Oryzias latipes: one gene and its partner. The protein of the gene in region 2 interacts with the protein of the main gene of each other region in a biochemical or structural test. Links are inferred from orthologs where the notes say so. Each region holds a gene or a part of one and is shown on either strand. Other genes may lie near its edges.

Region 1 (3,654 bases), on a different chromosome or scaffold from region 2:
TTATGCTGTTGCTAGTAAATGATGAGTATTTCTTAGCATTAATGTGACTTCTGGTGCTGCATGGTGGTTTTGCTGATGGTCTAGTCTGGTTGATACATCGTGAGTTTCAGTTTCCTGCAGGCGTTGAGACTTCCATCCGTTTAACGTCATGGTAGGATGGTCTTAATGTTCTTCAGATGTGAGAAAGACTACTCACGGGAGCCCGCAGCTGCAGGAACGGCAATTCGCAGGTTCCCGGCTGGTAAAAACTCTGTGAAATAATAGTAAACTGATCTTGGCACAGATTTTTTTTCTTTCTCCAAGCACTGGTACTACTGCGCACCCCTCTGGCATCGCATCGCACCCGAGAAGGACTGGTATAGTGAAAAAAGTTTTTTATAATTACAGATTTGTCTGCGAGCCAGATGTGGCCGTCAAAAGCGCCATATATGGCTCGCAAGCGATAGGTTCCCGACCCCTGGTTTAGATGTTTTTATTAAGTCAAATCCAATAGGGTTTCAAAGTATTGGTACAAAAGTTGATATGTTGGTTGCTTTTTTTTAAGCAAAAGAATTGCCTTTATTTATTTTTTTGATAAAATAAATTTTGTTGAATGACAAGTGGAGGATTTTTAATTTCTTAAAACATTTTTTCAAGATTGGAGCCATAAAAGTATCAGAGAATCCAGAGTTACATTTTAAATGTGAGGAAAAACCAAGACCCCGAGCTGGCTTACATCAGCAGCAACTTCATCACTGGCCACAGCATCAGATTGTTTAATCTTTTCTGTTGTTATAAAGTCGAGTTATGGGATCCAGACTTAAACGTTTTTTTTAAATGTCACTAAACTAAGTAACTGAGTATCTTCAACAACTTTGCTGTTAGACTCGTGCAAAAACAGCTGAACTTGAGGGCGCGTTCAGACCGGACACATTTGATTCGCTTTGAGTGAACTAGAGTTTGTTTCCCCTGATGATCCAGATCAACATTTCAGTCTAAATACACCCTGGTCCGACTCCAGGACCGCTCTCCGACCCATCTTTGGGGGTGGTCTCGGTTTGTTTCCAATTGGACTGGGCTTCGGTTCGCTCTGAGATTCCTCAGTCCAAATTCAATCTGTCCTCGGAGCGGAACAACTAAAACGGCCACCATGACCAGTGGTCATGTGATGTAAACACAGTAGGAATGTACCAACCGATGAGGCGTAGACAAATGTAAAATAATGAAAGGCCCCAACTCCTTACTAGTTAGAACGTTTATTTTAACACAGCTGAAAACGCCTCTTACATTCTTTCCCATCTCTCATTACGTGGCATGCGCTTGGCGCTGCTGTGATGTCACCCTAAAAGCTACCTTGAAGTTTCCTTAATAGAACCACAACCATGAAACACAACTCATTAAAATGTGTGATCGGATGAATGCAGGCTCATCAAAACATCCTTTGACGTGACACACATTGCTTCTCACTGTTTTCCAGACAATCTATATGTCATGTAGTTGTAGAGTTAGATAAGTTAATTCTTCTCTGAGTTCTGGTACAACGCCTGTCCGTCCTGGGGGAGGACCCCTCCTTCATGCGGACACCCCTGAGGTTTCTTTGGGTTTTTTTTCGGAATCTGTTTTTTTAAGGAGTTTTTCCTTACAGAGAAGGAGGGTCTAAGGCAGGGATGCCAGTTTAGTGTAGTCTGTTTAGTTAAAGTTTAGTATTCTCCCATTGAATTCTATGCATTTATAATCCTTTTTGATTGCATGTTTACCTTACAATTACTGGTACACAGCCCATTGAGACGACTGTTGTTGTGAATTTGGGCTATACAAATAAAATTGAATTGAATTACCTGTCGTCTGCTCATCACTACAGTTGCTAGCATCCTCTGAGCTAAAGCTCACACGGCACACGGTTACTGTTTACCAGTAACCGCCTTACAGCATGCCTCCCTGTACCAAAGTAAGAAGTAAAAAGTGGTCAAAACTGATGTTCAAAACTAAAATATAAAGTTTAACTGTCCCGAAAAGGATTGTAAAGCGCAGCACGCCCGTCTTTCATTTGTTTTGACTCGCCCTCGTAGTTCCTGGCCAATCACTGAATAGATCTTAAGTCATGTGGTTTTGTGTGTAAGCTTTGGTCCGTAACAGAATGGGTCGCTTGATGCCGGTCTGAATACAGACCAAACGCAAGGATCGGGACTTGATCCGTAAGGATTTTCCAGTCTGAATACACCTTAAAAAAATCTCAATCTTTAATGATAAGCAATCCTTAAGCTTGAAATTGTTTGCAGTGACAAATATTGTTCATCTTTAATAACTTATATTTTGGAATGCACCTACTAAACAACCTTTTAGTAAAATCAGCACTTAAACAGATGCAACAGGAAAACCAACAAACAAACGGAAGTTGTTTTTTTACACCAAAAAATTGAGTTTGTCGTTTCTGCTGACAGTGAACCGGATAAAGGAAGGAGGATGAAATGAGATAAGAGGACGACTGGAGGAGCACAGCCCCTTCACCTCCCCTCTAAAGCATGGCGGGTCTGCAGCTCATCACCCCTGCCACATCACCCATGGGGCCCTTTTTCGGTCTCCCGTGGCAGCAGGAGGCCATCCATGACAACATCTACACACCCAGGAAATATCAGGCAAGGCGGGCGGCGCCGCCGCATGGACCAGCTCTGTGGTGCGAATGCTCGTCATGTGACACCGTTTGCTCTGTGCTTCTTAGGTAGAACTTCTTGAAGCAGCTCTTGAGCACAACACCATCGTCTGCTTGAACACTGGCTCAGGGAAGACTTTTATTGCAGTGCTGCTCACAAAAGAGCTCTCCCATCAAATCCGGGGAAGCTACCAAGAAAATGCCAGAAGGACGGTTTTCCTGGCAAACGCAAGTAGGTGCAGAACATCAGAGGTCTGGAATGTTTGCATGAAAACGTTGACGTGGGTCTGTGTGCTGCAGCCTCGTCTGCGGTCCAGCAAGCAGCTGCAGTCAGGACGCACTCTGACCTCCATGTGGGGGAGTATAGTGACCCGCAGGAGGCCACGACGTGGAGCCGCCAGCGCTGGAGTCGGGAGATCGCAGACAATCAGGTTTTTCTTTTCTGTTCTGTTGGTGAAAACCAGTTGCGAGGGTTCATGTGTCTCCTGATTAGGCCTGCACAATATACCGCAAATTTATCGTTATCGCAATATCCAGCTCTGCAATATGCATATCGCAAAAGACGGCGAATATCGCAATAAATCGCAAACCCAAAATGTGTTAAAACAATCTTCTAGCAGCTTGAAGCATTTAACGGATCAAATAAATCCCTTTATGCTTTGACCAATCAGATGGACGCCTTCCCAGTGTTGACCAATCAGATGGAGGCCTATAATGTTAACCCTGGTCCTGAAGAGCCTTAACCCTGCCTGTTTTCCAGCTCTCCTTAACCAGCTTGCTGTTGATTGGCTGACTCAAGTGATTTCACATCCTGATTGACGGAACACACCGGATTTTGGTTATCATTATCGAGCAGTCTAGGGAGAATTGGAAAACAGACAGGGTTGAGGCTCTTGAGGACCAGGGTTAGCCACCCTGACGTTTGTCCCCCATGTCGATGAGGGTCATTTGGAGTATAATTTTTAAACTGTTGCAATGAAATGGGAATGATGTTTTTGTTTATTTTTCTATTTGTTTATTTACCG
Region 2 (3,654 bases):
TGCATCCTCTTCAAAAGTCATGTTTGTGTCCCACCAAACTGGTTTGATGAAAATCCACTCATAAACACGATTGGAGCATGTGTGGTCGAGATGATGTGGTGCACTTTAAGCTCCAACACTCGAAGATGTGAATGCGGAACAATATGGAGCAAAAGTTACTGCTATACGTTTTAAAAAGAATAATTAAAACTTTCAAAATGAGATTAAAAAAAATTTTTTCTCAAAATATTCTGCAGCCGGATTTGAAATGCACAAAGCTCAAAATCTTTGTTTTATCGGAGATTTCTGAAACAAATCCCAAAACTCTGGAGCTTTAAGAAAAGTCCTGTTAGTCAGTTTTTGCTTGTGCATCCAGTCCAGTTCTGTCTGTGAGGCTTTGTGGGAGTGGGAGTGCTTGTAGGATTTGTGTAGCTGATTCTCACAGTGCACTGATTGGTAATGACCCTTTAATCCCTTGACGCCTATTGATGCAAATATGGATCAAGATACTGATAATAAGGATACTTCGGCTCCAAATCTACTTTAATCGAGCATTTGCATGAAAGCAAAATTATTTTTTATTTTTTCCATAGCAGGACATTAATTCAGGCATCAAGGGGTTTATTTATTTTATGTAGTCTTAAGTTATGGAAATCTTTAAAATTTTAAATTAACAACAAAAAAAACAAGAAGAGTTTTTGAGGTTAAAACGCTCAAGTTTTTGTTGACAGTAAATGTTTTTCTTTGCTGGACGAGGTAGATTCTCATTTGAAGCTTAACGGAGTCCAAAGGCTTTTTAAATATTGAACCATTTTCTGTCTTTATTCCTCAGAGCTTTTACTGATCAGCTAAGGAAGATCTCTCGCGATGCTGGGATGCCCATCCAAGGTCAGCCATGCTTCTGCAAGTACGCCCAGGGAGCAGACAGCGTGGAGCCCATGTTCAGACACCTCAAGTACACTTACCAGGGACTTCAGCTGGTGGTGGTCATCCTCCCTGGAAAGACACCCGTCTATGGTAAGTTAAAGTCCCGCTTATCTGTTCCCTGCATTTGATCCATCCCCTGGGGGAGCAGTGAGCCCCAGACAGAACCATTTGTTGGTTAAACCCCCCAATCCAACTCTTTTAATGCTGAATGTGGTGCAGGGAGGCATTGGGTCCCATCTTTTAGAGGAGAATTGAACTCACGACCCTCCAGTCTCAGAGCGAACTCTCTTCACTCCCACTGAGTTGGACATGGATGCAATTTTCTTACATCCGGTTTTGTGTAAGATTATAACGATGCATAATTGGTCAAAGGTAGATTTGTATTTTAAAAAGATCAGGTTTTTTTTATTAATGTAACTGTTCAGTTCAACATGAAAGAGAAGATTTGTGGTTAAAAGTAATGTTATGGATTTAAAGTGGTAGAATTCCCCATGGAAAAATATATATTTTTTAACTTACTGGAATTAACAAGCTAAAATGAGTTAATATTAGTTTAAATGGACTATGATGTAAAAAGAAAAGGTGGAGCCCCTCATGGTGTGTGTCTTTCTAAAGGGATCATTAAACAGGTGTACACTAATTATGATGCAAAAAAAAAGTATTCCTTACATCTTTCTGACGTTGTGTATTTCCTAGCTGAGGTGAAGCGTGTCGGGGATACAGTACTTGGAATGGCGACTCAGTGTGTGCAGGTCAAAAATGTGCAGAAGACCACACCCCAGACTCTCTCCAACCTCTGCTTGAAGATCAATGTCAAGCTGGGTGGAGTCAACAACATCCTCCTCCCTCAGGGCAGGTAAAGTGACGACTCATTTTAACTCGTTCCTCAGTAAAATGTGTATTTTGCCTTTTGTTCTTACTCTTTTGAGGCTTAAAAATACTCCATGCTGTGTTTTAATGTTTGGAGCTTTTGCCTCCTCCGTTTCCAGGCCCATGGTTTTCCAGCAGCCTGTGATTTTCCTGGGTTCAGATGTGACTCATCCCCCTGCTGGAGATGGAAAGAAACCTTCCATTGCTGCTGTGGGTGACATTCAAATTCATCTTTTACTAATTTACTAGATCATGTAAATGTCACTGCTATTATTAGTTTTTCCCTTTCATAATTATGTCCAAAATGACTGTTGCTCCAAGGTGACCAGTAGTTTGCTCCTGCTTGACCAACTATAATTGTACAGCAGCTTTGAAAGCGTATTTATTGAAGTTGTTGTCTGTAGTTCCATGAATAATCTACAGTACACTGCTTAAATTGACGTTTAAAGCTTATTTTCCTGCTCTGTAGGTGGTTGGTAGCATGGATGCTCATCCCAGTCGATACTGTGCCACAGTGCGAGTGCAGCAGCACCGCCAAGATATCATCCAAGACCTGGCCAACATGGTGAGGGAGCTGCTGATCCAGTTCTACAAGTCCACACGCTTCAAGCCCACTCGGATCATTTACTATCGAGATGGCATCTCTGAGGGCCAGTTCAACCAGGTAATGCTTGTAAAGGATTGACCATAAAACTTTGAATTTTGTGTCTTAGGGCTGGGCGATAAATTGATTTTATTGATTTTTTCAAATTTGTTGTTATGGACGATTTATTTTTGGGAAAATCCAGATTTTCTTTTCCCAAAAATCCTCTGGCAGCCGTGTCTCAAATGAAGACCAGTACAAGTAATAATTACAACGCAGTATTCTTTATTAACAAATAACAGTAACAACTAACTATCTAACTAATGAACTAACTGTATAGGCGTGCCTCGCTAAAGTGAGTGAGAGCCTTTGACTGCGATGGGCTTTAGGCAAATGTTGCAGCGTGGGGGGGCACAGATGTTGCTGCCACACGTCTGTGGCAGCAAACTAACCAGTTCCAAGCAACAGATGATTTTATTCCTTTCTTGGGAACAAACGTTCCACTCTCACCGCTAGCCATGTTGTCGCTTGCTGTTTTCTGGTGGTATGATGTTGTTTGTCGCTGGCCATACCGCTGTGTGAAACTAACGCTACGGAAGCTCTGGGGAGCCAAAAATGCGCCATTACACAAAACTCAATTTAGTTATTTTTGAAATCGCCCGTAACAAAAAATTTGAAGTAATTCATTCAATCAATTTTTTCTACCCAGGCCTAACTTAAAGCAAATTTTGCTTTTATTTAATGAAACGGAAGACAAATGTAACCTCCATTTCTGGGATGAATAGTAAATAAATGAACACACTCTTGGAATCAAAGTCCCAGCTGTATTTTCAGTCACACTTTGTAGTCTAGACTAAAAGTAGACAAACATTCACCTTGAGAGTAGCAGCATTTTCTAAAGGATTAACAATACAGCTCATATCTGGGGTCTAAGGTTTTAATTAAATTAACAAACCCCAACTTCTCCCCGGTATACATGGGTACCATGTCTTTGGCTGTATGCAAAGCAACCGCTTTGGTGATTGTTCTCCACCGTGCCCCTTTCCTAGGGATGGGTACCGAGCCCCGGTATTAAACGAGCCCCGGGGCAAAATTCTTCAAGATCTGACGTCAACGGTTCTGCTTAGTAAATCTGTCCTTTAAATTTGAGTTTACAGTTAGATGACATTAAAGAGGTGTCTGTACCCTTTGTAATTTACTTTTAATTAAGCAACAACTTTCCCTTCTCGTCAGACTGACACCCCTCTACTCATGGGGTACAGGGGGTACATTTTTTTTATTTTTCAGCTGTGCTG

The links.
Region 1: the proteins of protein argonaute-2 (region 2) and dicer1 form a complex in vitro, tested with the Homo sapiens proteins (2 studies listed by BioGRID and IntAct). The link is inferred for Oryzias latipes from reciprocal best matches to the Homo sapiens genes AGO2 and DICER1.

The regions. Positions count from the first base shown.
Region 1 is NC_019880.2:4,303,505-4,307,158, reverse strand, and holds part of dicer1 (endoribonuclease Dicer), read left to right. Parts: intron 1-2,420; 5' UTR 2,421-2,501; coding exon 2,502-2,615; intron 2,616-2,698; coding exon 2,699-2,861; intron 2,862-2,929; coding exon 2,930-3,060; intron 3,061-3,654. UniProt on the Homo sapiens protein: Double-stranded RNA (dsRNA) endoribonuclease playing a central role in short dsRNA-mediated post-transcriptional gene silencing.
Region 2 is NC_019869.2:10,709,196-10,712,849, forward strand, and holds part of protein argonaute-2, read left to right. Parts: intron 1-811; coding exon 812-996; intron 997-1,602; coding exon 1,603-1,762; intron 1,763-1,895; coding exon 1,896-1,986; intron 1,987-2,245; coding exon 2,246-2,440; intron 2,441-3,654.